Ovis aries: one gene and its partners. The protein of the gene in region 2 interacts with the protein of the main gene of each other region in a biochemical or structural test. Links are inferred from orthologs where the notes say so. Each region holds a gene or a part of one and is shown on either strand. Other genes may lie near its edges. The genes, in order: PTTG1, CDC27 and MDC1.

The links.
Region 1: the proteins of CDC27 (region 2) and PTTG1 form a complex in vitro, tested with the Homo sapiens proteins (3 studies listed by BioGRID). The link is inferred for Ovis aries from reciprocal best matches to the Homo sapiens genes CDC27 and PTTG1.
Region 3: the proteins of CDC27 (region 2) and MDC1 form a complex in vitro, tested with the Homo sapiens proteins (2 studies listed by BioGRID). The link is inferred for Ovis aries from reciprocal best matches to the Homo sapiens genes CDC27 and MDC1.

Annotation. Positions count from the first base shown.
Region 1 is NC_056058.1:69,561,588-69,571,718, forward strand, and holds the start of PTTG1 (securin), read left to right. Parts: upstream 1-4,784; 5' UTR 4,785-4,896; intron 4,897-5,298; 5' UTR 5,299-5,308; coding exon 5,309-5,399; intron 5,400-6,307; coding exon 6,308-6,492; intron 6,493-8,222; coding exon 8,223-8,316; intron 8,317-10,131. UniProt on the Homo sapiens protein: Regulatory protein, which plays a central role in chromosome stability, in the p53/TP53 pathway, and DNA repair. Probably acts by blocking the action of key proteins.
Region 2 is NC_056064.1:45,950,344-45,959,922, forward strand, and holds part of CDC27 (cell division cycle protein 27 homolog), read right to left. Parts: intron 8,891-9,579; coding exon 8,776-8,890; intron 6,512-8,775; coding exon 6,378-6,511; intron 3,984-6,377; coding exon 3,884-3,983; intron 2,947-3,883; coding exon 2,739-2,946; intron 2,161-2,738; coding exon 1,988-2,160; intron 1-1,987. UniProt on the Homo sapiens protein: Component of the anaphase promoting complex/cyclosome (APC/C), a cell cycle-regulated E3 ubiquitin ligase that controls progression through mitosis and the G1 phase of the cell cycle.
Region 3 is NC_056073.1:27,417,399-27,427,682, reverse strand, and holds the start of MDC1 (mediator of DNA damage checkpoint protein 1), read right to left. Parts: upstream 6,447-10,284; 5' UTR 6,108-6,446; coding exon 6,066-6,107; intron 4,563-6,065; coding exon 4,421-4,562; intron 4,055-4,420; coding exon 3,674-4,054; intron 3,589-3,673; coding exon 3,519-3,588; intron 3,229-3,518; coding exon 1,808-3,228; intron 1,019-1,807; coding exon 953-1,018; intron 788-952; coding exon 695-787; intron 1-694. Other genes in the region: TUBB (tubulin beta chain), read left to right, coding at 9,208-9,264. UniProt on the Homo sapiens protein: Histone reader protein required for checkpoint-mediated cell cycle arrest in response to DNA damage within both the S phase and G2/M phases of the cell cycle.

The DNA of each region.
Region 1 (10,131 bases), on a different chromosome or scaffold from region 2:
TAGGTGCTTTGAAGACATGGGGCAATTCAGCAATTGTGACACCTCGCCCCTGATGTTGATACTGTATTTCACCATTAGGAAAAAAACGATTTACATTGTGGAAAAACAATGTCATAGATATCTCAACCTTTCTTTAAAGAATAATATGTAATAAAATACTGGAAAGTAATACTTTTGGAGTACAGTTCCCCCGCCCCCCCCCTTTAAATCCTATCTGTTCTGGTAACCTTTTATTTTTCAAAACAATATGTGTTTCTTTCAGATATCAAAATGACATCTTTGCCTCTAAGAGAATCTCATCATACTCTTATTAAGAATTTTTAGTGCATAGAGCATAGCAATGTAAATATTAATTTTGATTTTACAGGGCAAAAGTTGAAGGAATGGAAATTGTCAGAAAATAGTCTGAAAGTGAGTAGTCTATGAATCACTCACACTTAATTTTTATCTCCTTAATACAATTCCTGAAATTTGTTTGAAAGTGTTAAGGTCTGTTTAGTTAAAACTACCAGGCACAAGTCAGGGAATACATCTCCCAGTGGAATTATGGAATGTGCTGGACAAGAGGGAAGAACTGTTTGTAAGGTTCAGATTCCCCCTGGAGGATTCTAAGGAGGATCTGAGAAGCAGGGATCAGTTCTGGATGGGATGGCTGTTTGATAAACTGGGAACAATTAGGATCTTGGTGCGGTTGTAAAGTGAGGGTAGTTTAGCAATTTGGATATCACCAGTAACAGTCTGGAGAAGGCAATGGCACCCCACTCCAGTACTCTTGCCTGGAAAATCCCATGGATGGAGGAGCCTGGTAGGCTGCAGTCCATGGGGTCACTAAGAGTCGGACACGAATGAGTGACTTCACTTTCAGTTTTCACTTTCATGCATTGGAGAAGGAAATGGCAACCCACTCCAGTGTTCTTGCCTAGGACGGTGGAGCCTGGTGGGCTGCCGTCTATGGGATCGCACAGAGTCGTACAGGACTGAAGCGACTTAGCAGTAGCAGCAACAGTAACAGTCCAGGGCATAGCAAAGTGAGTTTGGGGCATCATTAGTAAGAAAACAAAAGAGTTGGTTGTGGCATTTTACAGTTACCTTGGGAAACAGTGCTTTGTATTGTAGGAGGGGAGACTTAGCCTAGGGAGATAGAAACTTTGCATCCAAAAATATCAGGAGATAAAGAATTCCCACTTGGAAGCTGTAGGTGCTGTTAAAGAGAAAAGCCACAGGCCCAAAATGGCTTTACTTGTGCTAAAGCCCTTGATAGAAAACTTATATTTGATAACTAACCTAATCACAACTTCAAAATACTATCACCAGAAATGTAATCCAACCAACCAGTTGGGAATTTCCCGGTCAGTACTGAAGAAGTAATCTGGCACGTGGCCCCTTTCCATTATCCCTTCAACCCCACTCTGCCTCTCAGTGGAAGAAGAGGCAATTAGCTGTGAAAACCTTGCTGTTCCTTCCTTTCTCCTCTCCAAAGAGGTCCTGGCCTATAAATAATCCTTTCTTTTAATAGCTCCCATGCCCCACCCTTTTTCCTCTAAAAATTTCTCAGTTTGTACAACCCCTTGGAGCACCCTTCTGATTTCTAGGTGGGAGGCTGTCTGATTCTTGAGTCATTTAATAAAACCAATTAGATCTTCAAATTTACTTGATTGAATTTTTTCTCAATGTTGTGCAGACTTGGTTTCAATATAAATATTTTTGTGTGCTAATGATGTAATTCAGAGCTGAGGCACTTAGAAGGAGATATAGGGAGGAAATAATGGGAGGGTTACAAAGGTCTAGTCAAAGCTATGGTTTTTCCAGTAGTCATGTATGGATGTGAGAGTTCCACCATAAAGAAAGCTGAGTACTGAAGAACTGATGCTTTTGAACTGTGGTGTTGGAGAAGACTCTTGAGAGTCCCTTGGACAGCAAGGAGATCAAACCAGTCAATCCTAAAGGAAATCAGTCCTGAATATTCATTGGAAAGACTGATGCTGAAGCTGAAGCTCCAATATTTGGCCACCTGATTCAAAGAACTGACTCACTGGAAAAGATCCTGATGCTGGAAAAGATTGAAGGCAGGAGAAGTGTTCAACAGAGATGGTTGGATGGCATCACCGACTCAATGGACATGAGTTTGAGCAAGTTCTGGGAGTTGGTGATGGACAGGGAAACCTGGCGTGCTGCAGTCCATGGGGTTGCAAAGAGTCGGACACTACTGAGTGACTGAACTGAACTAATAAACTAGGGATAAAAGAGGATATGGAAAGGGCAAAAAAGATACGCACTTTTCCTCCTCTTGGTGTCTAGCACAGTGACTAACATTTAATAAATATTTATTGAATGAATGAGCCATTCAATGTTTTGGCCCTGAAATGCCAGGGAAGAAGGGACAATGAACTGGTATATATTTGGAAACATATCTATGCCAGTTGTAGTGCTAAGGCTTTGGTGAAAGAGTAATGTAGGCTTAACTCCTCCCTCCCAACTTTCCTGCTAAGTTAAAAAGTATCTGGTGACCTGTTGGGAGTAGAGTTTGGATGGCACAGATCATCCTTGGTCTTTTGAATTGATTCCTTTATCTTGTTTAATATATTTCCATTTACTATTGAAGGACTTCCCTTGTGGCTTAGCTGGTAAAGAGTCCACCTGCAATGCGGGACACCTGGGTTCGATCCCTGGGTTGGGAAGATCCCCTGGAGAAGGGAAAGGCTACCCACTCCAGTATTCTGGCCTGGAGAATTTCATGGACTATCCACGGAGTTGTAAACAGTCAGACAGGACTGAGTGACTTTCACTTCACTTCACCATAGAAAGGAAAAGGTCACTAACTTTTCAAAGCAAAATTTCTCCATGTCTTGGAAATTGGAATTCATTTTGTATGTCTTTATAATTCCTCTGTTGTTTTTCTCTTGTTCACCCTTCTGTCCTTCCCCACCAGCTTTGATGAATATATTGTTGAGATGTTAAAGGTTTAAAGTAAGTATATTGGTACTTGCCTGGCAGTCCAGTGGATAAGACTCTGCTCTTACACTGCAAAGGGCACAGGTCCCATCCCTGGTTGGGGAACTAAGATACTGAATGCTGCGCAGCGCAGCCAAAAACAAAGTCCTTATTAACTGATAGACTTTCAAGTTCAGAATTGTGTACTCTTAGGTCATTGTTTTGTTCCTAGGGTTGCAAAGAGTCAGACACGACTGAGCAACTGAACAACAGATTCTGTATAATGGAGATAGCATCCTAGCCTGAAATACTGATAGTCTTGCAATTAGGAAAAAATCAGTACACTTAAAAAAAATTGAAGTCTAGTTGACTTACAATATTGTATTAGTTTCAGAATCACTCCATTCTTAATCACAAACACAACAGAATGACACAAACTTGCCACTTTATCTGTACTTTCATTTCTTCTTAATGTTTAATTGTGCTCTGTTAATATTCTCTAGATCTAATATGGGTTTTCCTCCCACTGACTATTTATTGACTATATATGTATTTTTTATACCTCTAATTTGAAATTCATCTTCCATAGTCATTTCCCCAATGACTACAATGCCTTTCCTCCCGTGCTGCCTCTTTTTAATTTGATCCGGTGTATCTACTCTCTGGAAAAACAGTTGATTACTTCAAGACTTTAGGAAAATAGTTCTGTCACCATCTCACTTTGACTTTTTGAAGTTCACTATCTTCTCATTTAAAAATGTCTTGGACACCAAAGACTTGGGCTTCCCTTGTGGCTCAGCTGGTAAAGAATCCGCCTGCAATGAAATTAAAGTATAATGAAATTGTGCTTTAAAAAGTTGGTGACCTTTTCCTTTCTATGGTGAAGTGAGGTGATAGTGGCTCAGTCCTGTCCAACTCTTTGCAACCCTATGGATAGTCCATGGAATTCTCCAGGCCAGAATACTAGAGTGGGTAGCTTTTCGCTTCTCCAGGGGATCTTCCCAACCCAGGGATGGAACCCTGGGGTCCTGCGTTGTAGGTGGACCCTTTACCACTTGAGCCACAAGGGAGGTCCTTTCTATGGTAAAGTGAAGTGAAAGTCGCTCAGTCCTCCTATTCGACTCTTTGCGACCCCATGGACTGCCATGGAATTCTCCAGGCCAGGGTACTGGAGTGGGTAGCCTTTCCGTTCTCCACGGGATCTTCCCAACCCAGGGACAGAACCCAGGTCTCTCGCATTGCAGGCAGATTCTTTACCAGCTGAGCCACAAGGGAAGCCCTTCTATGGTAAATGGAAATATATTAAACAAGATAAAGGAATCAATTCAAAATGAGGGAGACCTTGGTTCGATCCCTGGGTTGGGAATATCTCCTGGAGAAGGGAAAGGCTACCCACTCCAGTATCCTGGCCTGGAGAATTCCATGGACTGTATTGTCCATCGGGTCGCAGAGTCGGACACGACTGAGCGACTTTCATTTTCACGTCGCACACCAAAGAGTCTCAGGGAAAAAAAAATCGCAAAAGCCAACTCTGTATTTTGGTATAACATTAATAATAACTTTCTTGGAATTAAAGACTGTACCTACTCTCCTCTATCTCTCTGGGGGGGAGATTAAAAAACAACCATTAATAGACATCCACGACCAAGCTGTGAGAGGCTTTGATTTTTTTTCCTCCCGGGGAACAAACGAAGAACTTGCCGGGAAAAGCTTTCAGGGCGGAGCCCAGGGAGCTTAGGTTCCTACCATTGGTTCTTCCGGAGCCTCCGCCCCGCCCCTGTCCCGCCTCCTGGATGGATGAACCAATAGGGGTGTAAGTTGTGGTTTAAACGCGGAGTCTGGCGCGTCCGGTGGAGAAGAGTCTTGCGAGAGTTTGGCTGTTACTCCGAATGTGGGTGAACCGAGCGGTACCGAGTGGTTGGGCGGGCACGGTCCGGCGGCTTAGGAAGCGGGAGTAGGCTTTGTGTGTGTGTGGCGTTCGGGGCCTGGGAACCGGGGTCCGGGTGTCTGGGACCCGGGGCCTGGGATTTGGGGGCTGGGACTTCCCTGAAACGTCAGACGCGCTCGCCTGGCTTGAGCCACGGTTTTGAACTGCGTACGCGACCCACGGCAGTTTGGTTCCAATGAGTACCAGGGCCTGTGCCAGTCCCAGACCGCCAACTCTTAAGGAATTTAGGGTCCCTGACGCAGGCGTCAAGAATTAAGAGCTGGGTTAAATGCTTGTTGGCTCAAGATCCGGCTTCTACCTCTGCTTAGCTCCTGTTTTTGCGTAGATGTCCCTAGGGTAGAAAGTTGGGTCAGTGCTACACTTTAGCTTCTTTCATCTTCCCTAACTCCCAAGGTTTAACGAGTGTTTCACACCTCTAGTTGATCCAGAATGGCTACTCTGATCTATGTTGATAAGGAAAATGGAGAACCAGGCAGCCATGTGGCTCCTAAGGACGGGCTGAAGCTGGGGTCTGTGCCTTGTAAGTATACAGGCGGCTATCAGGTACACAGGTATTGTGAATCAGTGGTGGGTGTGGCTTGGAGCTGGGGAAGGCCCAAATATACTTTGTGGGCAGTTGGAGTCGTGCGTGCTAAGTCGCTTCAGTCATGTCCGACTTTTTGCGACCCTATGGACTTTGTAGCCCGCCAGGCTCTGCTGTCCATGGAATTCTCCAGGCAAGAATACTGGAGTGGGTCGCCATACCCTTCGCCAGGGGATCTTCCTGACCCAGGGATTGAACCGGAGTCTCTTAAATCTCCTGTATTGCCAGGCGGGTTCTTTACCACGAGCGCCACCTGGGAAGCCCAGTGGGAGTCGAGTTTACCCAATACTCTTACTGCCGAGTACTTATGGGTCTCTTCATGTTCAGTATCTTTTTTTAAAATTTAAGTTATTTATTTATTTTTGGCTGTGCTGGGTCTTTATTGCTACCTGGCCTTTTCTCTAGGTGCGATGAGTAGGGGATACTTTTTATTTGTGATGCCCAGGCTTCTCATTGCAGTAGCTTGTATTGTTGCAGAGCATGGGTTCTAGGGGATGCTGACTTCAGCAGTTGAGACACGTGGGCTCAATAGTTGTGGCACATGGAGTTAGTTGCTCTGTGGCATGTGGGGGTTCCTGGATCAGGGATCAAACCCCCGTCTCCTGCATCGGCAGGTGGATTCTTTACTACTGAGAAACCAGAGAAGCCCTCATGTTCAGTATCTTAAAGAGATTATTTAAGAGAGTAGTGAACTGAAATGGTGTTAGGCATAGGACCATGCCACTGTCAAAAATGGGGGTTAAGTTTGGCTGTGAGAATTAGGCCAAGTTGATAGGCACAGTCAGCTTTCAAGTTGCACAGGTGTTTACTGCTGGAATGATCTTATGGTAAGACTTTTTCTTTAGCAGTCAAAGCTTTGGATGGGAGATCTCAGGTTTCAACACCACGTGTTGGCAAAATGTTTGATGCTCCACCAGCTTTACCAAAAACTGCGAGAAAGGCTTTGGGAACTGTCAACAGAGCTACAGAAAAATCAGTTAAGACGGATGGACCGCTCAAACAGAAACAGAAAACTTTCTCTACCAAAAAGGTAAAAGTTGGCTATAATTAAAGACTAAAGCACTTTGACTCTTAAAATGACTACTGGCATCTTACCTGACACTCTCCTCTGTGAATGGAAGGAAATAGAGACTAGCAAATTAGATTAACAGAAGAGAATCATCATACAGTCTTTATTGACTTCTCTGTACCTTGAGATCACATGTATCAGGAGCAGCTGGTTAATATTTTTGCCTCACCTGTCTTTAACAAGTGTCTTAAAACAGACCAGTGAGTACTGTGAAAAGTGAAAGTGAAGTTGCTCAGTTGTGTCCTACTGTTTGTGACCCTGTGGACTGTAGCCTACCAGGCTTCTCTGTTCATGGGATTCTCCAGGCAAGAATACTGGAGTGGTTACCATTTCCTTCTCCAGGGGATCTTCCTGATCCAGGGATCGAACCCAGGTCTCGCACATTGGAGGCAGACACTTTAACCTCTGAGCCACCAGGGAAGCTTTTGAGTACTGTGAGAGAGGGTACTTTGCAAGAAGTCATGATGCTAGTATAACAGCTCAGGTGCTGCCATTCTCTTCCCCTCCTTTCAGAGCAAGCACTAGCTTTGTAGGTTATAACTTGGTAGCATGTTGACCTTTGTACATGTGTTTACAAACTGTAGGGCAGTGCATCCTAGACCGAGAGGACTTGGCTGTGAAAGATGACTTCAGCATGTGAATTAGCACTGCATTTCAGTAATTGTTTCAATGTGTATTAGGAAAAAAACAACTAGTATACTTGATGTCAAACTGTTAGGTGTGGTTTTAGGATAAAGATGTCTTTTTAAAAAAAACTGAGTTGAGTAAGAGAAATGCTAAGTGTAAGTATTGCAAGGATATAGCAAAAATGATGAGAATGTGACAGAACTGAAATGTGGGAAGCCTTGTCCTAGTAATTTCCTCTAGGCATGCACATGTGATGTGAGAATAAATCAAGACGCTACAAGCTTCCATTTTGGCCCACCACCATCATGGACTGCCTACCAGTTCCAGACTAGAGAATTATCCACGGTGGGCATCTTAAAGTCCTTGACTGTCTTTGACTGCCTCTTACTCAGTGTTGTGTATTTGAGGAAAACAAATTGGTTTTTAATATTAACCCAGTAATTTAGGTAACACTGATGGAAAATCACATTTCCAAAAGCCAAAAATGGCTTCTAGGATTAGTTTCTATTCTGGGTGATTTATGCCCATTTTCTCTTCTATTAGGTTAGGTTGGGCGATTGAGTCAATTAGCTCTGAATTAACTCTACTCTGGGGCTTCCCTGGTGACTCAGTAGTAAAGAATCCACCTGCAATGCAGGAGACTCAGGTTTGATCTCTGGGTGGAGAAGATCCCTTGGACAAGGAAATGGCAACTCGCTCCAGTATTTTTGCATGGGAAATCTCACGTCCAAAGAAGCTTGGTGGGCTACACAGTCCTTGGGATTGCAAGAGAGTCAGACGCGACTTACCGACTAAAAACAGACTCTGCTCTGTATTTTGATGATTTATGCTAACAGGTGCTAATACTTGTATTTCATCCTTACCTTTTGAGCCATGATAATTGATTGCTGAATTGTATTTGTATGTGATTTTGAGAATGAGGGATTATGGTTTCTTAGAAATTGAAAACAAATTTAAAATATGATGAAGCAATCCCATGTCTTGAAGAATCTCTCTAATCTCATGTACTAATCAGTTGACAAGGCTCCCACTCTTAAATGGATGTTTTCTTGGGTTTTTTTTAGATTACTGAGAAGACTGTTAAAGCAAAAACTTCGGTTCCTGCCTCAGATGACACCTATCCAGAAATAGAAAAATTCTTTCCCTTCAATCCATTAGGTACTCTTTTGATATTGTCCAAATGCTTTAGCTTTCAGTTTCTCTTAGGATCCAATTCAACTGTAAGTTGATATGGCTCTGAATATGATTTGTGATCTAAAACTATAACAAGGCTGTCTGAATCTGGGGTGCTTTGGACAGGTAACTTGTGGATTTATTTTTAAGGCATTATCTTAATTCAGAAGAGGAATCAGAGCAAAGATGGGAAAACATTCTTGTCCTCAAAAGCTAAAACCACCCAAGGGGAGATTACTTGTTCAGTGTTAGCAGACAGCCTTCCTAGCAAGCCCACTTTTAGAAAATGGACTTGATGTCAAGTTGAACAGTGAAAAGCAAGCCTGAAAAATCCACATAGCCAGTGAGAACATGTGCTTTTTGACTTCTTCAACCTCCTACATGTATCTGAAATATTTTCTATAATAGAGTCGGCTTTTTTCAAGCTTTAATGTACTCACATTGAGGAGAGTAGACTGTATGCCAGGCGCTATTGGCTTAGGATGTAGTGGATAACAAGGCAGGCCCCACTCTGAGGAAGCCCAAGATTTGGAGGGTAAGTCAGACACTGAACAAATCCTTTCACTTTGAGTGTGAGCCAAGGAGAAAAACAGGGCTTGTTAGGGGGCACTGAACCTAGCCTGAAAGAGCAGGGAAGTTGTTTTCTCATAAAGTGACTTTCAGTGGAGGCTTGAAGGATGTAAGGAGATAGTTGGGTGGAGAAGGGGTAGGGCTGGGCGCCAGCACCGTAACAGACAAAAGATCTTGAGGCAGAAAGAAGGACTGGAGTGGTTCTGGAAAACTGAAAAGTAGAGTGAAGGATGACACTGGTGAGGGGGTTGGTCAAATCACACAGGGTCTTTGAGATTCCTGAGCTGGTTTTTTTGCCTTTTGATCCAAAGAGCATTTAATTATTCCACTAGTATACATCTAGGCTGTTTCTGGCTTTTATATATGTTACAAAACAATTCTGCAATTATTGTTGAGAGTTTGTGAGTATACCTAGAGAGTAAACTCCAAGAAGAATTTCTGGGTCTCAAAGCTGTGTGATTAAGTTTTGATAAAATGTGGTGCATCTCATCATTACCATTCAGGAAAATGAGGTAGGTTTATGCATATTGAGGGCTTCCCAGGTAACTCAAATGGTAAAGAATCTGCCTGTACTGCGGGCGACCTGGGTTCAATCCCTGGGTTGGGAAGATCCCCTGGAGAAAGGCGTGGAAACCAACTCCAATATTCTTGCCTGAAGAATTCCTCCATGAACGGAAGAGCCTGGTAGGCCACAGTCCATGAGGTTGCAAAGAGTTGGACACGACTGAGCGACTTAACACTTTCACACTTTAAGCATATTGGCCAGGAAAGAGGACTACATACAATAGCTGTGTTGGCGGAAAGAGATATTGCTAAACTGCCTTCCAAAATAGCAGCGTAAGTTACTGAAACCACCTTCAGTGGATGAGGATGCCCGCTTTCCCCTTGTTCTCTAACTGCAAATGTTTTAAAATTGTCAGAAAGATAATTGGTATTTTGTTGTTTAAAATTGTGGTATGTGAGTGTGTCTGAGCATATTTGACTATTGGTCATTTATAGTTTTTAAATTTTCTGTTTGTATCTTTGTTTTCTCTTGATTTTTGTGACTTTCTTACACTCTGTGTCTGTGTGTGTAAAGAACTGTCTGTATAAAGATAATTAGCCCTGTGTGTTGCAGACTTATTTCCTCTGGGGTCTTATGTCTGTCTGTTTTCCTTTACAGTTCAGTGGTTTAAATTAAGTGGTCACATAAACTGTTTCTTAAATTTCTTTTAGGACTTTTACACTCTT
Region 2 (9,579 bases):
AACTCCTTTTTCTTCTGCAGCACTCTCTTGACTTTAGGGTCCCTTCTCAGCTAGCATGTCAAAGTTTTTTCCTTGCCACACTCACAGCTTCCAGAACTGTGCTTCTCTCCCCTGAAGTTTGAGACTTTGGGCTATATGAAACCAGTTAGCTCCCCAGTTTATCAATTCGTTAAAAATTCTGAAAGTCAAACTTAGTTTAGAATAAGGAATATCAGGTCTATTTTTAATGAAATGAAGATGACAAGATAAGGAAATAGCATTCATTAAACTAGTAAAATAGGAATGCTTAGATATGGCCATAAGAATAAGAATTCTTATGATATGGCCATACATCATCTAGAATTAGCTTAAACTTGTGACTCCCCTGAAATTCCTTAAAAGTTATACAGATAAATTTTCCATTTTTTCAAACACACACTGGTTACAAGAAAACAGACCTAACCACCTGTCAAGTACAGGCTTTAAAAATCTGGTTTAAAATATTTCAGAATCTATTGTTTCCTCTGAAAAATGATTATGCCACAGACAGAAAGGAAAACTGGAACAAAACTAAAAATTAAGTTGAAACAAAGATTTCCTTTAAATATCTGGGTCTACATCTGCTCTATGATTAGGAGTAACACAAAAATTCATGTTAAGAACCCACGAAACAAATAATTTTGAAAAGGCTTGCCAAACCCCACTTATACCTATGTACCAAGTAAAAAAATCACAATTCAGCAATGAAAAAGGGTGTCTACAATTGTTTTTTCTTTATTACTCAAAATTACAAGAATAGGTATCTTCTGGATTTATTCTCCACCTGGAAGAATACTACACCCCTAGAGCTCTGCATGGCTCCTTAAAGGAGCAATAATCTTCTTTCTCTGAGCATGTTTTTTTAAAAAATAGCACCATACTTCACTGTTCCCCAATCTCCTTACCATGCTTCATTTTTCCTTCATATGATTTATTGCTGTGTCCTTATACATTTATTGGCCTATAATTTCTCTTACTAGAAAGGGGGCTTCCCAGGTTGCACCAGTGGTAAAGAACCTGCTTGCCAATGCAGCAGATTTAAGAGACATGAATTCAATCCCTGGATCAGAAAGATCCCCTAGAAGAGGGCACTGCAACCCACTCCAGTATTCTTGCCTGGAGAATTTCATGGACAGAGAGGAGTTTGGTGGGCTACAGTCCATAGGGTTGCAAAGAGTCAGACACGATTGAAGCAACTTAGCATATGCACACTTGCTAGAAAGTAAATTCTGTGAAGGCAAGCAATTATCTGTCTAGCTATATTACAGTATAGAAGAGAGTCTGGGATATAATATGCACTCAAATACATGCTGAAAGTAAAAAGGGCAAACAAGTGATCTTATTATCAACTTTAAATAATTTATATTAGGTTTCTTAAAGCTTTTTTTAAAGGTTTTTCTAATTTAAGTTTAGAGGTGGGTGAGGAAGTGCTTTGAAAGTAGAACTGGGGAATAAATTAGAATTTTCTTTGGCTTTAGGTTAATCATCCTCTCCTTACCTGATTTAAAGAGATAACTTAAGCAACAAATATAATTAAAATTAAAATGATAAAACCTTACAATAAGAACATTATATCCTCAATTACTTACAACTTTCTTCATTGTATTAAGTTTATAAAACATACTAAGTACCAAAAATTCATCCCAGTAAGCTCTCTATATAGTAGAAAGAATTTTGATTATAAACGTCTATTTACATGGTAAATACATATTTTCAGATCCAAGTAAGTAGAGTACAAATGTTCCATGTAAGAATTAGTTTGGTTCTCTACAAATCTATCTCAAGTAATCCCAAAGAATTCAAATTACCCTTAACACAAGAAAGAACTGAACTGATAAGTTATTAATACTGACAAAATAAAGACATTACAAAATAAATACTGACCCTTCAGATCTAGCCTTCTCAAACATAATTTTAATTAAATTTAAATTACCTCTAGAAAGGCATATGTAACTTTTTAAATACTTACTTGCATGTACTCTGAAAGTTCGAAATAGGCCCTTCCAATTTGGCACAGCACCCAACCAGTATTGTAGTGGTGAGAAGGTAGGTGGCTCAAGATATTAATAGCTTCTTTGCAGTTGTATGAACACAAAGCTAAATAACCTTTCCCCATTTCACGAAGAAGGCTCATCAAACCTTCTGGGAGAAAATAATGTAGTAAACAAAGGAAAATAAAACACAATAAAGCTGCCTGGTTTTCTAGGAAGGCTAATTAAAAAATATTTCATTAAACTTTCCAACACTGGGCTTCCCTGGTGGCCCAGTGGAAAAGAATCTGCCTGCCAATGCAGGAGACACAGGTTCAATATCTGGTCCAGGAAGATCCCACGAGCCACAGAGCGACTAAGTCCACGCACCACAACTACTGAACCAGAGCTCTGGAGCCTGCGAGCTGCAACAAATGAGCCCACATGCTGCAACTACTGAAGCCCATGGACCTAGAGCCTGTGCTCCGTAACAAGAAATGCCACTGCAACGAGAAGCCCACCCACCGCAACCAGAGAGCAGCCCCTGAGAAAAAGCCCACACAGCGGCAATGAAGACCCAGCACAGCCAAGACTAAAAATGAGTAAATAAGAAAATGACCAAAAAAGAAAAAGGAAAAAAATGCCAGCATCTACCCAGAAAAAATGTTTCTTTAATGAACATAAATGAACTTACTTAAAACAAGTGAATAAAATAAAATATAAAGAAGATTTTAAGCTTTTAAAACAGACCTGCTGCTGCTTTCTGTAGATTAAATGCCTGGATCTGAGGGGTAATTGTGGAGATTTTTCCTTCTGAAATGATTGAAGAGTCTAATTTTGTGATTTCCAGGCTATCATTTATGTTAGGTTGAGTTATTCCTCCTTTATTAGTTTTACTTTTTGTTTTTCTGTTTGGGATTTTAGGTGGAAACTTCATTTTTAATTTTTTGCTATTCTCCTGTAACAAGAAGGAAAATTCAATAACTTGTTATACTCATGTATTTTAAACATCTATCTAACCCTTTTTCTCAAGTATTAGATATAAAATAAACATATGGTTTTGACTGATCTACATTTTTCTCAGAAAATTTTATAAAAACAAAAGTCTTCAAAGTCACTTAATGTAAAATGCAACAATTCTGAAAATAAATCATATTAACTAACTAGTATTTATTACATTAGCTTTAAGCATTTCTCTTTATTCAAAGTATATCACTTTCATTTATTAATTAAAAATAAGAAAGTAAGGAGATACAACAACTACCTAATTGTCTCAGAGCACTGAAATCTGTAAGGTATAAAACTGCTGATCTATATGTCACAATTAAAGACTGTCCGTAATATTTGTCAATGGATGAAGAAAATTTACCAAAGGTATAAAACTCTCCAGTTGTCCAAAGAAATGTGCAAAGAAAAAATTTTCATTCACTCTTCCCACAATCCTTCCCAATGGAAACATGTGACATAACCACAGTATACCATCAAATCCAGGAAACTGGAATTGGTGCAATACTAGCAACTAAAACTATAGATCTTACTTGGATTTCATCAGTTTTCACATGGACCTTTTAAAAAATTTCGGTGTGTACAGTTCTGTGAAATTGTGTTACATGTATGGATTTATTTAATCAACTACCACAATAAAGATTCAGGACTATTTTACCACTACAAAAAGAGATTCCTTTGTGCTATGCTATAAAAGACACATCCTCTCCTCAGTCCTACCTCCCAGTAACTATTGATCTCCTCTCCATCTCTGTAATTTTGTAATTTTAACATTAAAAAAATGTTAAATGGTCTCCTAATGTATTCATTAGAGACTGAGTCATCGATGAACAGAAATTTCAGAGGAGGAAGTATTAAATAAATGTGACATACAGAAATTTTTAAATTACCTTGGTTGTAGAGCTGTCACTAGTAAAAAGTCGCGAACTTCTTCGAGGCAGTGCATTTGGGGGAGATGTGATAGTGGGGCTCAATACCTGAGGTGTTGTACTAAAAAAATTATAAAAGTAGATATTTAAAAAACCTGTTTATGACCATTAATTATTATTTCAAGTATATTAAAAATATGCATTCAACATGTTTGTATTCTAAAATTGATGAGATCAATCCTTTCCTCACCCTCCTATGAAAACTCATTTAAAGAACTATTCTTGTTACCATAAAATGATATAAATTATAGCACAGATCTTCACTCTATTTGAAATTGCTCATTCAAACATAAAACAATCCACATAAAAGTTCTGGGTCAATAAATAGTAAACATCTATAAACCAATTATCTTTAGTCCTTATTTGGAACTATAGAAAGTTAAGGAAAAACAAAGCTGGACATAGTCTAAATGTGGGATATTTGCTAAATAAATATTACTAGAACAATTGATACCTGAGAAGTTATTACCATGTAAGTTCAAACAGCCACATCAAGGGATTATTCTGCAGAATGAGAGAGGGGGACATGGACAGTAAAAGTATTTGAAGAAATAATGGCCAAAAATTAGCTAAATATGATGAAAACTATCAACTAACAGATCCAAGGAGCTCAATGAATTTGAAGCCCAAGAAAGGAGAAAACACACTAGAGCATAATCAAATGGATTAATATCAGTGATAAAGAAAAAATCTTAAGAGTCAGAGAAAAGAGACAGATTACATACACAGAAACAAAAATAAGGATGGCAAGAAGTTTCTTATCAGAAACAATGCAAGCAAGAAGACGGTAGAGCAATGTAAAGAAAAAAACCTGTCAATTAGAATTCCATACCATGAAAATATCAATCAAAAATAAAAACAAAGGTGAAACGAAAACTTTCTTTTGAACATACAAAGGCTGAAAAAATTCATTACCAACAGACCTAGACTACAGGAAATGTTAACCACTCTGTAGAAGTAAAATATATGACAACAGCATAGAGACTGAGAAGACGAGTATGAAAATATACATTACAAGGTTTATACTCTAAGTGATATGGTACAGTATTACTTGAAGGTAGACTTTGATAAGTTAAAATATCTGATATAAACCCTAAAACAACCTCTAAAACGACAAGATAAAGAGTAATTGTTAATAAGGCAATGTTATGGGTTGAATTGTGTCTCCCAAAGGGATATGATGAAGTCCTAACCTCCAGTACTCTTAATGTGAACTTTTTGGGAAATATGGTCTTTGTGGATATAATTAACTTAAGATGAGGTCATCACGGTGGGCGCGAATTCAATATGACAGATGTCCTAATAAGAAAAAGGAAATTTGAATACAGAGGCACACAGGGAAGATGGCTACGTGGAGACAGAGGGAAATACTGAGTTGCCTACTACAAAATAAGGAATGCCTGGGGCAACCAGAAGCTGTAAGAGATAAGGATCCTCCCCTAGTGACGGCCCTAGCGATACCTTGATTTCAGATAGAACTGTGAGTGAATAAATTTCTGTTGTTTTAAGCCACCCAGCTTGTGGTACTTGGCTAGGGCAGCTGTTGGAAACTAAAACAGGCAATAAAGAAGGTAGAGTGGTACACATCAACTATACATCAACTAAGAAGATAAAAAGTTATTAGTAATACAAAGAAGGCAAAATTAATGTAATTCATGTGTATTACAGTTAGTATATTTGTTTAAATGAAATGCATAATTCAGTAAATTATGTTTATATATTCTTGAAGACTAACATATATTTGGACTATTAATGTGCTCTGCAGGAGGCTCAGGCTCCTTCTTATCACTGAGCCCTAGGCAATCACTGCCACCTACCTGAGAGTTGGCACTCATAATGAGACTTACCAGCCAGGCATTTTAGAAATATTGAGGCCTTTTATATAGTCAAGGTATATGCACACGTGTACCTATTTTAAGACTTATGGTACATGTTCACTATTTTGGGAGGTAAAGTAGCTTTCTCTTAATATATTAGCTATAATTTATTTTTGAGGCCTTGAATAGGAAAAGAAATCTTATTTAACACCATTTCTGTGTGAAAATGGATTCATCATTTGAAGATTTATTGGCAGATTCATACTATGATATACTTATAGAAATGCATAATAGGGGAAGGGGAGAATAATCTATCTGTACTTGATCAGTGGAGAAGGTTACATAAAAAAAAAAGAAAATTATTTTGGAGGAGTGCTAACAATATCTAGTTTAAACAAACTCACAAGGCAATTAGAATAAAAAGGTATTTTAGCTAACTCTTGTCTTGATTTGCATTGTAATATTCAAAAATTAAATTTCCTTTTTCAGTAAGTTGGAAATTCCAAATTTAACATATTCAGAATTTACAATAGTCATTCCAGAATTCTTGGAGCAGTCAAAACAACCTGCCTAAACTGAAGAACTGTTTCACAACAAGAAAAGCTAAACAATATCAAATTATGAGACCAAATAAATACCTTGTTTGCGGGCCAGAACTTTGTGTCTGTGCAACAAGAATTGGAGTTACCTCTCGACTGTTTCCACTCTGTGAGAAGACAGACTTTGTTCCAGTTTGGCCGATTCTGGCAACAGACTGTAAAACACAAAAAGTCTAAAGTTTGTGAATTATAAATTGCATTGTGAGTGGTAAAAGACATCATGATGTACCCATCTACATTTCCCCAATACAAGATTTCATATTATATACTGTCATTTGAAAACACAAACTATTAATGTCATTATTGATGTCATTTTAGGTTAATTAATTATTGATATATTAGAATGAACATCATCCTATTTCCTCATATTAAGCTCAGTATTTTTACCTTTATACTATCTTTTTATCTTTCGACTTTAGTTATCAAGGAAAGGCTTAAGATTCCTAGAGGCCATTTATTATGTAACTTTCCCAGTTGGGGCTAAGTGCTAAAAAACTTTAAGACAGCTACTATTCTCAAGAGTTATGATCTAATTTAGTATACATAAAAAATAATAAAGTAAGATTTTATACCCCTTCTTTGGCACTTAATAAAGACAGTCTTAGAGTAATTCAGATTAGTAGATTAAAAAAAACACTGGGTTATTTTCCAAATTCTAAGAATATTGCACTGAATTAGTATTTCTTTTTGATGTGTTCAATCTTCTGGACTGTGCTTGTCCCTTCTCTCTTCTCTAATTTATCACCTTATTTCTATTTATTTTCATCACTTAACTTTTTTATAAAGTGATCTGTGTCAGCGAATATTGAAAAAAAAACATTTTACTACCAATAAATTTCTCCAAAAATTAGTTACTGTGATAGTCACTGTATATAATTCTGAAATTACACATTATAAATAATCATTAATAATTACTTTCTCACCATACTGAAAGCCTTATTTTGGCCTTCTCAACATTTAACATCATTGATCATGCCCACCCGCCTCGCCCTTCTGAAACTTTGTGTAATTTCTAAAATATTTAGTATAGTATCTTGATTATTTGTTCTACCACTTCATTTGCTGGCCCCTCTTTGTTCCACTGTTTTAAATTAAGTTCCTTAGCAACTCTCTCTTTCTCTAGGAGAGCATGGTCATGTTGTATCTATCACTTGGTCATATTCTTTCCTCTGTAACTAACTATCCACTGAATATTTTCACCTATTTTCTGGCCCTTCCTTATTTAACAAAGAACTATCTGCTGAACTCACTACTTGGTTTGATATTTTTAGTTAATACTGCAGGGAGATTTGGAAGTATAGCTTTTCCAAGAATGTCTTGTAATAGAGTAAAAGAACAGGGGCAGAAGAGGCTTAGACTGGGCAATGAAACCATATACGCCTTTACTACCTAACTTGTCCTTAATTACTCTGACTCATGGTTTTGGCCTACTTCCCCTGGCATGCTAACCATTGTCTTATTATGCCTTCTTATAACTGTAATAAACTAATTTCCACATATATATGTCACTTTCATAGTAATACAACAGCAGGTAGTTGTCAACTTTTTAAAAATCCAGTTTAAAACACAATTTCCATATTAAATACTTTTAGTTCACGTTTACCACTCTTGGAGTTCCTATTATCACTCATTAGGAAGCTATCATATAAAAAACACTGCTAAAGTTCAGGAGTAAAAGAGTAAAAACAAAACAAGAAGAAACATGTTTCTCTGAGGGTAAAAGGGCTATCGCAGTCATTCGCCTACCAGTATGACTCATTTAGCTTTCATTTCTTAAATATCCATTATGCACAGCAACAGGCATTTACATATATAACCTAATTTAATTCTCACCTAAGATACCCTGCACCACAGATACGTTTTATTTATTTATTTATTTTTTTCCACAGATATGTTTTAAATAAACCTCACTTTGGCCTCTACTGCCACAGACAGTAAAAGAACATTATAAAAAGAGTCACAGTTGCAATGCAGTCTTATTGCAGTATTTACTATAAAGATTCTATGAAATATTTTTCATTTTACTACACTTTAACTCCATACCTGAGTATCCACCATAAAAATTTTATTATCACAAAAAGCTAGCTTTATGTGAGTCATCTTTTTTCATGTTAATATTAGTACAACTGAAAAACAAATATACTGGTGGGGATAAGCAAAAACCACAGCAGGTATAATTTCCATTATTTACATTCAAAGTGATCATCTTAATTTTGTTTTTTAAAAAAGGAACTTAAATGCAAAAATCTGAATATGCTTAATTAGCTATATGCTGAAATAAACTACAGTTGTGAGTTACAAACTTACGTGGTCAAAAGAGCAACCAGCTTTGCGTCTTCTACTATACCCAGGAGGCTATAATAATGATGACCTTCTTTTACATTTAGATAATTTCTCTAAGGCAACAGCAATTCATTATATTTTACAAGGAAAATACCTTTTTTGAAGGGGCTCCGGTGGGTGGCACGTCAATTACAGAAGATGTATTAGTGTAGTTTTGTAAATAGGATCCATCTCCAGGACTTGGGGTTTCTAATGGCAAAATCCCAAAACTGAGAAGAGGTTGAAATCAAGGTGTCAAAAAGTCATCAAGGCATATATAAAGCAGCAGTATACTTAAATTAGAAGGTCTAAAAGGAAGAGAATGGCAAATCAGTCTTGGGGGCATTGAGGATCTAAGGGGCAGATTAAAAATAAGCTGTGAATATAGACTATTCCACCCACCAAAACTAAAATTAAAAGAAAAAATCAAATAAGGAACTAAACTGAGCAGTAACTACAGATCTCAGGAGATTTATTAGAAATAAAGAAGAGTAGCTTTGTAAAAGCTAAGATCCAAATTATGAAATTAGTTCAAATTCTTGGAATTTATGTGATTTAGACACTATTACAGAGAAAATATCCTTAGAGACCAATGAATGCATGTGTGGAATCAATGAGCTTTGTAATCTCATGGTCATACTATTTAAGCAATTCTCTGGCCCTGGGACCCAATTCACAGTCTGTTCTAGCACATAATTTTTTATTTTGATTCTTTTGGAAATGCATCCTCTGGCCTGGGTTCCTGTATTTATTCATACATATATATTTCTAAAAATTTTCACAGAACATTTCATATATTGAGAGGTGTCAATCCTTTCCCATTTTGGAATACAGCACTTTAACCATTGCTATCACTGATTATAAGCATCCCAACATTTTAAGAGGTTCACTGCTATTCACTGATGCATAGTCATAAACA
Region 3 (10,284 bases), on a different chromosome or scaffold from region 2:
AAGACAAATTCATGCATAATAAATTTAAGTGAGTTATTAAAGGAAAGCTGGGAATAAGGAAGAGAGCCATAACATTTCACTGGTGGTCCAGTGGCTAAGACTCTGAGCTCCCAATGTAGGAGGACCAGGTTTGATCCCCGGTCAGGGAACTAGATCCGACATGCTGCAAGTAAAGAGTCCTCATGCTGCAACTAAAGACCCTGTGTGCCACCACTAAGACCCCGTGCAACCAAATACATAAATTAAAATAAGCTAGTTGCTAGAGTAGTTGCTCTCTGGGTCTGACTTAATGTAGCATTCTTTTCTGCTTAGATGGAGGAACATCAGCAAAAAAATGTCAAAGGCTATAAAGACAGGCTTTGGAAGGAATGATGCTAAAGCTGAGACTCCAGTACTTTGGCCACCTCATGCGAAGAGTTGACTCATTGGAAAAGACTCTGATGCTGGGAGGGATTGGGGGCAGGAGGAGAAGGGGACGACAGAGGATGAGATGGCTGGATGGCATCACTGACTCGATGGACGTGAGTCTGAGTGAACTCCGGGAGTTGGTGATGGACAGGGAGGCCTAGCGTGCTGCGATTCATGGGGTCGCAAAGAGTTGGACATGACTGAGTGACTGAACTGAACTGAACTGGACAGAGGGGAAATAAGGATGCCAAGTTAAGGGCACAGAAGAGGCGTGAGTTTCTCATACCTGTGGCCTGGGAGCTGCAACAGGAAGGGCCAGGCTCTTGGGGCAGAGGAAACAGGAAGGCCTGGGTGGGCTCATCCTCCATGCTGGGGGCTGCTACACAAAAAAGCATGGCCTGAGCACTGCTCCTCCACAGAACTCTGAGGGCCCATTCCCAGTCTTCTCTGCTGCCTATGCCAGCCTTCACATCCTTCAAGGACCACCAATCTAATCTCCCAGCTCCTGCTTGTACCAGTATCCACACAACAAAGATGGCCTCACCTTCCAGGCTCTGATTCTTTCTGTCTACAAAGCACTGGGTAGCTGGTAGGTCCAGATCTTCAGAATCTGGTGGGGAGGAATGCAGGATAATTAAAAAACCAGAGCTGATCCTAACTCCTTTTCTCTATAGTTCTCTCCACAGCCCCAATCCTATGCAATAGCCTGAATCTGTGTCTCCCCAAATATTCTTATGTTGAAACCTAATTTCCAATGTGAGGGCATTAGGAGGTGACTGGGAGGTGACTAGGTCATGAGGGCGCAGCCTGCATGAATGGTATTAGTGCAGGCTCAGCCGTGGCTCAGTGATAAAGAATCTGCCTGCCAATGCAGAAGACACAGGTTCAAGCCCTGATCCAGGAAGATCCCACATGCCCTGGAGCAACTAAGCCTGTGTGCCACAACTACTGAGCCTGAGCTCTAGAGCCCATACTCAACAAGAGAAACCACTGCAATGAGAAGTCAGTGTACTACAACTAGAGAGTAGCCTTGGCTCCACATAACTAGAGAAAAGCCAGCGCAGCAAGGAAGACCCAGCACAGCCAAAAATAAATAAAGTCATTTAGAAAAAATGAGAGAAAGACTCCAGAGAGCTCCCTTGGGCCCTTTTGCCATATGAAGACATAACGAGAAGACGGCTATCTGTAAGAAGCAGGGCCTCATCAGACACTGAATTTGCTGGTATCTTGATCTTAGACTTCCCAGCATTTAGAACTGTGAAAAATAAACTTCTGTTGTTTTATAAGCTACCTAGTCTATGGTCTTTTGTTATAGCAGCTCACATGAACTAAGATACGCTAGAAGCAAGAAGCATTCTTTATCGCAGACCTCCAGGGAGGAAGAAAGGCCAGCACTTACCGTGGAGGTTGTCTCCAGAGTCTGTGGCCCTATTCCCATATGGTTCTCTCTCCCTTCCTGTGGTGGTCTGGGCCCCCTCTCTCTGCGGTTGGGGCTCCCCTGGAGTGCCTATGTCCACCACCATATCTGCTAGGTCTTCCCTTGAGACCGGGAGAAGGTCTTGCTCCCCTGGTGCCGTGGATGACCCACCCTGGGTCCCGATGGCAAGTGCTCTGTCCTGTTCAGGAACGGCTGCAGCCCACGTGGTCCCAGCATCTTTTTCCGCCGGAAGCTGGCTCTTTCTGACAGCAGATGTGTTCTCCGAATCCAGTTCACAGTCCCCAGCTAGAGGAGGCCGGGCTTCCTCTAGACGCAGCACGGGGAGCTGTGCCGGGTCCCCTTCTGCCTCCGCATCGGTGTGATGTGGCCACACTATGCCTTGTACCTGACGCTTCTCCGGAAGTGCAACAGCTGGCCCCAGTGGGACCTCATCCTCCACTTGTGCAGAGGCCTGGCTTCTCTCCAGGTGGACCCCCGGTGAGCTCTCATCTTCCTTCCCCTCTGTATCACTGTCCCTGGGAAGGTGCTGGCTCTTTTTTGAATATTCCCTGTCCATGTAACCCTTGGGAACCATTCCCCTCCTTTCCACTGGGAGCCCCTCTTCCTCCACATCTGTGTCACTGTCTCCCCCAGCAGAGGCCTGGCTTCGCTCCAGAAGGGCCACGGGTTGGGCCCTGGTCTCTTCTGCATCTGGATCTCGGTTCCACTTACCAGCCTGGCTCTCTCTTAGACATGCCAGTGTCAGTGCTGCTGAGACTTCTTCCTCATCGTCTGTATTGCTGTCGATCACCACGGAGGCTTGGCTTCTGTCTGGGGGGGCCTCCCCCTCCTCTATATCTGTATCACCATCAGCTGGGCTCCCCTGCCAACGTGCCACACCAGGTGCCTGGGGGCTCTGTGTACCAGCTTCGTGGAAGATCTGCCTCTCCTTCATGGGAACCACTGCTGGGGTAGCAGGGATCCCCTCGTCCTCTCCATCGGTATCACTGTCTATGAAGTTACAAGACCAGGCCCTTTTCGGACGGACCCCAACAAGCCTTCTTCGAGGCCCACTCTCATCACTCACATCTGTGTCACTGTCCTCCCCAGAAGGCTGGCTCCTCTCCAGAATCACTCCAGTCGGAACCACCCCATTCCTCACATCCCTCTCGATTTCTGTGTCCCCGTTCCTCTCCTTCACGGAACACTGATCCTTCTCAATCTGGATCTCGGCTGTGACAGGTTCAGGCTGTTCCGTCTCTGCAGCGGTACCTCTTCTGGCAGCTGAAGAGGCCTCCCCTGCTCCTGATTCCTGACTTTCTTCCTCATCCGTGTCGCTGTTCAAGTTGAAGGCAGAAGGTGGCCCGGGCCCATCTGGGGCAGGGGAAGGCCCTTCTTCATCACTGTGAAGGGAAGAGAAGAAACCTATAGAATCGATTGCCCCAGAAGGGATATTCCACTCAAGTAGGAACTCCTTGAGAGCAGACGCAAGGTAGTACTTGCTGTTCTGTCTCCAACAATTAATTCTCTAGTTGGCACATGAGACGCTCAGTAAAAATTCAGTTGAGTGAAGGAGTATGTGTGGTTCCCCAGCCCAGACTTTGATGGTAATTAGCTCTCCCAGAGATGGCTCCTCCAGCCCCTGCTTCCTCATCCATCTGAAGACTCAGATGCCTGGCCCTTTGACACTCACCTCTCTGGAACGACTGTTGCCGAAGAGGAGGTCCTTGGTCCTTTCACCACACACTTGTCCAAAAGGGAATCTGTCATGAGTAGAAATGAGTAAGTGGAGAGTTTTACACTCACCGTCCCTGTCTCCTCACCCACCCTCCTGATACACAAACTTACCTACTTCTTCCTCTGAGTCCTCAGCCAACAGAAGCCTGGAGGGTTGAGTTCCTCCCTGTACCCTGGGTGTCTCCTCTACACTTAGAGGGCCCCGGGAGACAAAAGGCCGGGGGACATCCAAGCGATGGTACTGGCAGGGCAAGTCAGCAAAGAGAATCAACTCCCGGTCCCGCAAACGATGACTCACCCCAGGGCTCAGGACCTTAGGAGGCCGCAGGATTTGAGTGCCATTGAGGCTCCCGCAATCCCGAAGGACAGGCGCCTTGTCCCAGGCAGAGATTTCAATCACTGCATGTTGTTTGGATATTGATGAAAAGGGCAGGGCCACAGAGCAATCAGGCATTCGGCCTATCATGTTCTTTCCAAGGTAGAGTGGGAAGTCTAAGAATTAGAGAGGTAGGTGAGTTCCAAAGCCATACTCCTAACTTGCTATTAAGAAAAACATCTGTTAAGTTCCCCACGACTCACTCAAGGTCCCCCTCATGCATTAGAAAAATAAAAGGCCCTAGAATAACTAGCTAATAAAGAATATGTGCAATGCATTATTCATAGTCAACATTCCATCCATCTACACTGGATTGTTTCTATTGTGGTAAAATATATATAAAATTTGGGCTTCCCAAATAATAATGTCCCCAGTAAGACATTTTTTCCAGATCTCACAAATGCATATCTAAGCTTGCAATCATCCTATTACCTCCCCACAGAAATAAGAGGCCAGTACTTTAGCATGAAATTACTCCTGACCTTTTTCTGGTCCATAGGAACTACTGAAGATATGCAGCTGTGCTAGGGGCTCCAAGCTATACCCCAGAGATTCATTGGGGCTCTCTGCAACCTCCTCCTCTTCTTCAACTTCCCAGTTTAAAATCTGGGTGTCTTCCATGATCTGAGAAAAAAACACATTATCCCTTCCTTCAGTGGCTCACACACACAGCCTCAGGGAGGAGACTGGTTACTGCAGTCTCCTGGATAGCTATGGAGGCTGATGCTTCTCTTTCTGCCAATCATTCTGTTGTTATTCCTCTGAAGCATTTAAGAAATATCTCTGACCATGACACAGAATAAGAAAGAAATGTAACAGAGTTCCAAGTACAGAAATATAAGGGTCTTCCCTGGTTGTCCAGTGGCTAAGACTCTGCACTTCCACTGCTGGGGGGTGCAGGTTCCATCCTTGGTCAGGGAACTAAGATCCTGCATGGCCAAAAAACCAAAAAAAAAAAAAAAAAAAAACCACCCACAGAACACCAACAAAACAAACAAACAAAAACTGAGTTGAGAGACTTCTCTGGCGGTCCAGTGGCTAAGACTCTGTGCTCCCAATGCAGGGGGCCAGGGTGCAACGCCGGGTTAGAGAACTATAGCCCACATGCCCCAACTAAGGCCACACAGCATGTGGGATCTTAGTTCCCTAACCAGGGATTGATCCCTTGCCCCTGTAGTGGAAGCACGGAGTCCTAACCACTGGACTGCCAGAAAACTCCTTATTTTACTTTCTATTTCTCAGATAAAGAAACTGCAACAGGGATGGAGTAACAGATTTGTCTAAGATCACTCAGATAATGGGGCTTCCCTTGTGGCTCAGCTGGTGAAGAATCTCCCTGCAATGCGGGAGACCTGGGTTCAACCCCTGGGTTGGGAAGATCCCCTGGAGAAGAGAAAGGCTACACACTCCAGTACTGTGGCCTGGAGAATTCCAGGGACTGTAGAGTCAGATAAGACTGAGTATCTTTCACTCAGATAATGTCTCTTCCTGTTTAATATTCTTTGATGGTTTTCCATACCCATAGGATAAAATATATCTAAACTCCTTAGCAAGACCCTCAACGATCAGAACCTCATCTCCTGAAATGTGTGTCCCATCCCCACCCCGTCCAAGCCTGTGGTTCTACAACATGGACCTTCTCCTTAATCTCTGAACACACTGTCCTCGTTCTCTCACATCTGCAGGCCTTAGCCAGCTCCTTAGGACGTTGCCCCTAGTGTTGTGATCCAACTCCTATCCATCCTTTTAGCTCAAATGTCACTTTCGAAGCAAAGCCTTGCCTTTAGTCTTCTCTGTGTTCTGGTACTTTCCCCTATTTCCCATGTATCCTAAGTGTTTCACGGTGGTTGGTGGACTTATATTATCCTAATAGGTCTCACCATAGTGTAACTATTACATTCCATTTCTGCCTCACACATCCCCCTTGAGAACTGGACCAGTTAGAACTGTCTTTTCCCCAAGGGTCCATCATGTTAATTCAACAGTAGTTACTGTGTACCTGATACCATTAGAGATATTTCGAATACATTCATGAGTCAAACGTAAAATTAACTCTGCTCTCCTGATGAAATAATAAGATGAAAAGTCAAACTAGTATGGGTGGGAATTAAATTTGAAAGATGCTACCTTAAAGGGAAAATGTAGACAAGGAAAGTGGGACACCTCCATGGAGAAAGTGTTAACATCGTTTCATGAAGGCGAAATGAGCGGCGCCCACGACCTTCGGCTCCAATCCAATGGGCCTTCAACTTTGATCTCGATCCCAAGGGTTCCCTCTGAGCCCAACCTCTCCCAGTGTCTTCATACCTAAACTCAGGGAGGGCCGTCAAGTGAAGATGAGGGTTATAATCCGAGAAGCAAATTTCCAAGAATCCTCCGCCCAGTCGTAACCAAGGCACGCCCCTCCCGCCCTCCGGGAGAACCAAGATGGCATCCGGGGAGTCGTGGGCGAGGCCCCCCAGAACTCACCTACTTTGAGTCCCCGCGCGCGCCACCAGTAACGGCTGCGACAGGGGTGGTGCCAGTGCCTGAGCGGGGAAGGGGCTGATTAGCTGATTGGCTGAAGCCTTTGTCTTTCTCGGCCCTGCGGCAAGCAGACGGAGCAATCCAACGCGGAGGCATAGCCGGAGCCCCGCCCCCGCCCCGCCCCGCCCCCTTACGGCTCAAAGGGGCGGCTTCTCCGGGGAGACAGATCCGTTGGACGAGGCGGTAATCGGAAGCCTCGGAGGCGCACAGAATAGCGCACTTCGATTGGGCAGCTCCAAAGGGACAACCCACTGCGGTTTCACCACCCACTTCCCGCGTATATTTCCAAGTTGCGACCACAGAGTCTGGATGCCAGCAGCGGATAGAGGGGCTTACCACAGTCGTCGACCTAAGCATGTAGTGCGGCCAGAGCGCCTTCTCTGGTCCTCCCAGAAATGGTGTCCGCTGACTCATGAGAAATATAAGGGTTGCGGGCTGCAGTCGTGGCTGAAGACTTCAGTCTGGAGAATAGCCCGTAGGCGTGGCGCTTGAGGACTCACTACAATGGAAGTTCATTTCCTTTTGATTTAGCTCATCTAGAAGTCATGTCATTTCCTCCCTGAGAATCCATTCCTGATGGACACTTTGAGGTCATTATCCTAGAGTAAAGATATCTAGGCAAACGGAGAGAACTCTTTTGTTAACCATCTTAAAGGCTGACCGAGGTCTTTGAAGGGCTACAGAATGGTAAATTATTTTGCTAAATTTCATACTAAGACAATTTCACAGGAATAATTTAGGAGGACCTTTTGCATTAGTATTCTCACTTCGTTCTGACCAGAAATAAGAGTTCTGCGGAAGTTAGCTTGCCTAGGCTCCTACGGCTGTTAGAGACAAACTGAAACTGTTTAATCGTGAATTCTGAACTCTCTTCACTACCACAAAATAACTACTTTCACTGTGATTGTGCCTTCAAACATAAACATTTTAACTGGGTAGACGAGTTTTACAGAAATTTATGTTCTTTTATTTAGAAGATGAGAAATGTGTGTTGAATCCAGTGTGAATTAACACCTTGCTATCATCTAACCAAGTGCCTCATAGGTAAACAGCTCTCTTGCCAATTCAGGAGACGCAGGAGAAACGAGTTCGATCCCTGGGTCGGAAAGATTCCGCGGAGAAGGAAATGGCAACCAGCTCCAGTATTCTTGCCTGGGAAATCCCATGGACAGAGGAGCCAGGCGGGCTGCAGTCCATGGGGTCGCAAAGAGTCGTACATGACTGAGCACATACGGAGCCTGATATCCCATGTCCTTTAATCATGGTGCTTACCACACTAGTGGTTATACACTTCTCACCAAATTGCAAGATCCTGGAGGACAGTGAGGTAAGGTGAAGGTGAAGTCGCTCAGTCGTGTCCTCTTTGCGACCCCATAGATTGTAGCCTACCAGGCTCCTCCGTCCATGGGATTTTCCAGGCAAGAGTACTGGAGTGGGTTGCCATTTCCTTCTCCAGAGGATCTTCCCAACCCAAGGATCGAACCCGGGTCTCCCACATTGTAGGCAGACGCTTTACCGCCTGAGCCACCAGTGAGCTAATCCTTCATCCTAGCTCCTTTGGTGGACATTTAATATCGCTCAAGTTGAATTAATCCCTGAGAAGAAACATGCCACTCAGATTTGAGCTCATCCATTTTTTTCCCATCACCCTCCCTACTTTTATTTTAATCCCGAGGTTCTTGAAAGATTGCAATGGTCAACCACCTCTCAGTGAAATCAGCGAGTTGAAAAAACACTGACTTCATCAAAGTGCCTATCAGGTATCTCACCCCACAGTTCGCCTCTTGACAAAACTGTGTTAAACGCTGCTCTAAGGCGCAGATTCCCCACATGGACGGAGACTTCCGGCATATCTGCTTCTCTATTCTTGAACATACCTTCCAAACAATTACTTTTTATACTGAAAAGTCCTTGATGCAATTTTGTTTCTTTCTAAATATTATCGTTAGAAAGCTCCCAAGGAAATAGCAGGAAGGCAATGCCCTCCTCCTTCCCGAGATATCTGGGGGAGCCGGAGCTCACTGGAGTTCATGCCAGTTGGGTCACCAGGGACCAGCTGTTAGATAGCAGATCAGGGTGCCGCATTTCTCCCCGTTTTCGCTGAGCTAAGCAGTCCTGTCTTCCCAAGAGCTACCGCAGCGGGGAGCTTTCAGGGCGTGCCCTCACTCCACCTTCCAAAGCCTGGCACACCAGGGTTCCCAATTCCTGTACCCTGCTAAAACTACTCTCTTTTGATACCAGAAGAGTCAGGCATAGAGGAAGGAACCCTAGCGCCAGGCCGTTTTTCAGTCAAAACACCTAAACCAAAACCCCCAGACCCAGTACCCACCCATTCGTCCTTTCATTTTGCAGCGTGGACAACAATAGAGAACTACAACTCCCAGGCAGGACTGCGCTCGTCCAGCAAGGACCAATGGACTTGTGATACAGGACCGGCACGGACTAATCAGGGCCAGCCTAGTGAGGCTTTGTCTCTCCACCGCGGCGCGCGGAGAGTTCTCCCGCCTCCCGGCCCCCGCGCACGCGCGCCCCGCCCTGCCCGCCTTTCCTCCCGCGCCCTCCCCTCTCCTTTCTCCCTCTCAGAACCTTCCTGCCGCCGCGTTCGGACCTCGCTGCTTCAGCCTCCGGGTCCCGTTCCATCTTTTCACCCTGCGACCAGCAGCAGAGAAAAACTAATTCCGTATTATTTTTTTGCCCCGTACATACTTTGAGGCGAGCAAAAAGATTAGAATAAATTTTAACAATGAGGGAAATCGTGCACATCCAGGCCGGTCAGTGTGGCAATCAGATCGGTGCCAAGGTAAGGATTTTTAACCTCTTTTGACTGTATTTATTTTTAAGGAAAAAAAAAACAAATCCAAACAGGTATATTATGACGGATGGTTGTAGAACGTTTGCATCTTCCATTCTTAGTCCAGATTTGCCCCTCAAAACTTTTATATATAAATGCACCTTTGAACCTTAGGATTTGCTTTTGAAAAATGAGGAATTATTTTTCTTGGCAGGCTTATTTTGGGGAAGCTGTTAAAAGCACCCTTCAGGGTTAGGGGGCGGGAAAACCGAGTTTCTGTAAAATTTTACTTAGAAAGGGGATCTCCTAACGGTCCGAGGACCGGGGAGCGAGGGAGATGCGGAAACGGCCCGAGACAAAAGCTGGATGAGGTTTTCCCCATGTGCATCCCCCTTGGCGGGGCTTCGTGGGGCTAACCCAGAGGGGGGAAGGGGCGAGGATGGCGGGCAGCTGCCGAGAGGTCAGATCCAAATGTAGGGGCGCGCTGAGCCAGGTGGGCTGGGCGATATCCTTTACAAATGATCAGGAATCTCCGGGCGCTCGCGATCCCCAAGGGGCGGTCCCGCAGTTTTTCGTGCATGGAAGGCTAATATGTGCTAGACTAATTTGTTCCTTTTATTTCCCCTTAACAGACTCTTAAGGGCGTGGACAGATAGGGAGAAAGGGCGAGGAAGGAAAGGGAGTCCATTCTTTGAAGGGGTTCCTCAGAGCTAGAGAATAGGACAAAGGAAGAAAAACCTCATTTAAAGCAAGGGGGTTAAAAGCTAGCAAAGAAATGAAATTTCGAGGCCAAGGGGGAGGGTTTTTTTTTTTTTTGCGCGCGGTTACAGTGTAGCGGGGGAGGGGCAGGGAGGAAGTGCGGCTGCTACGTTGTAGCAGAAGGGCGGGACCCGGGCGCCCCTGGCGCGCTGGGACAATGCGGCCAGGCTGGCCGGCGGGGGGCGCGCGAGCCCGAGCCAAGCCCCGCCCCTGGCGCGCGGAATTCGCCCTTCGGCCCCGCCCTCGCGCGGCACCTCCCTTTGTCGGCCG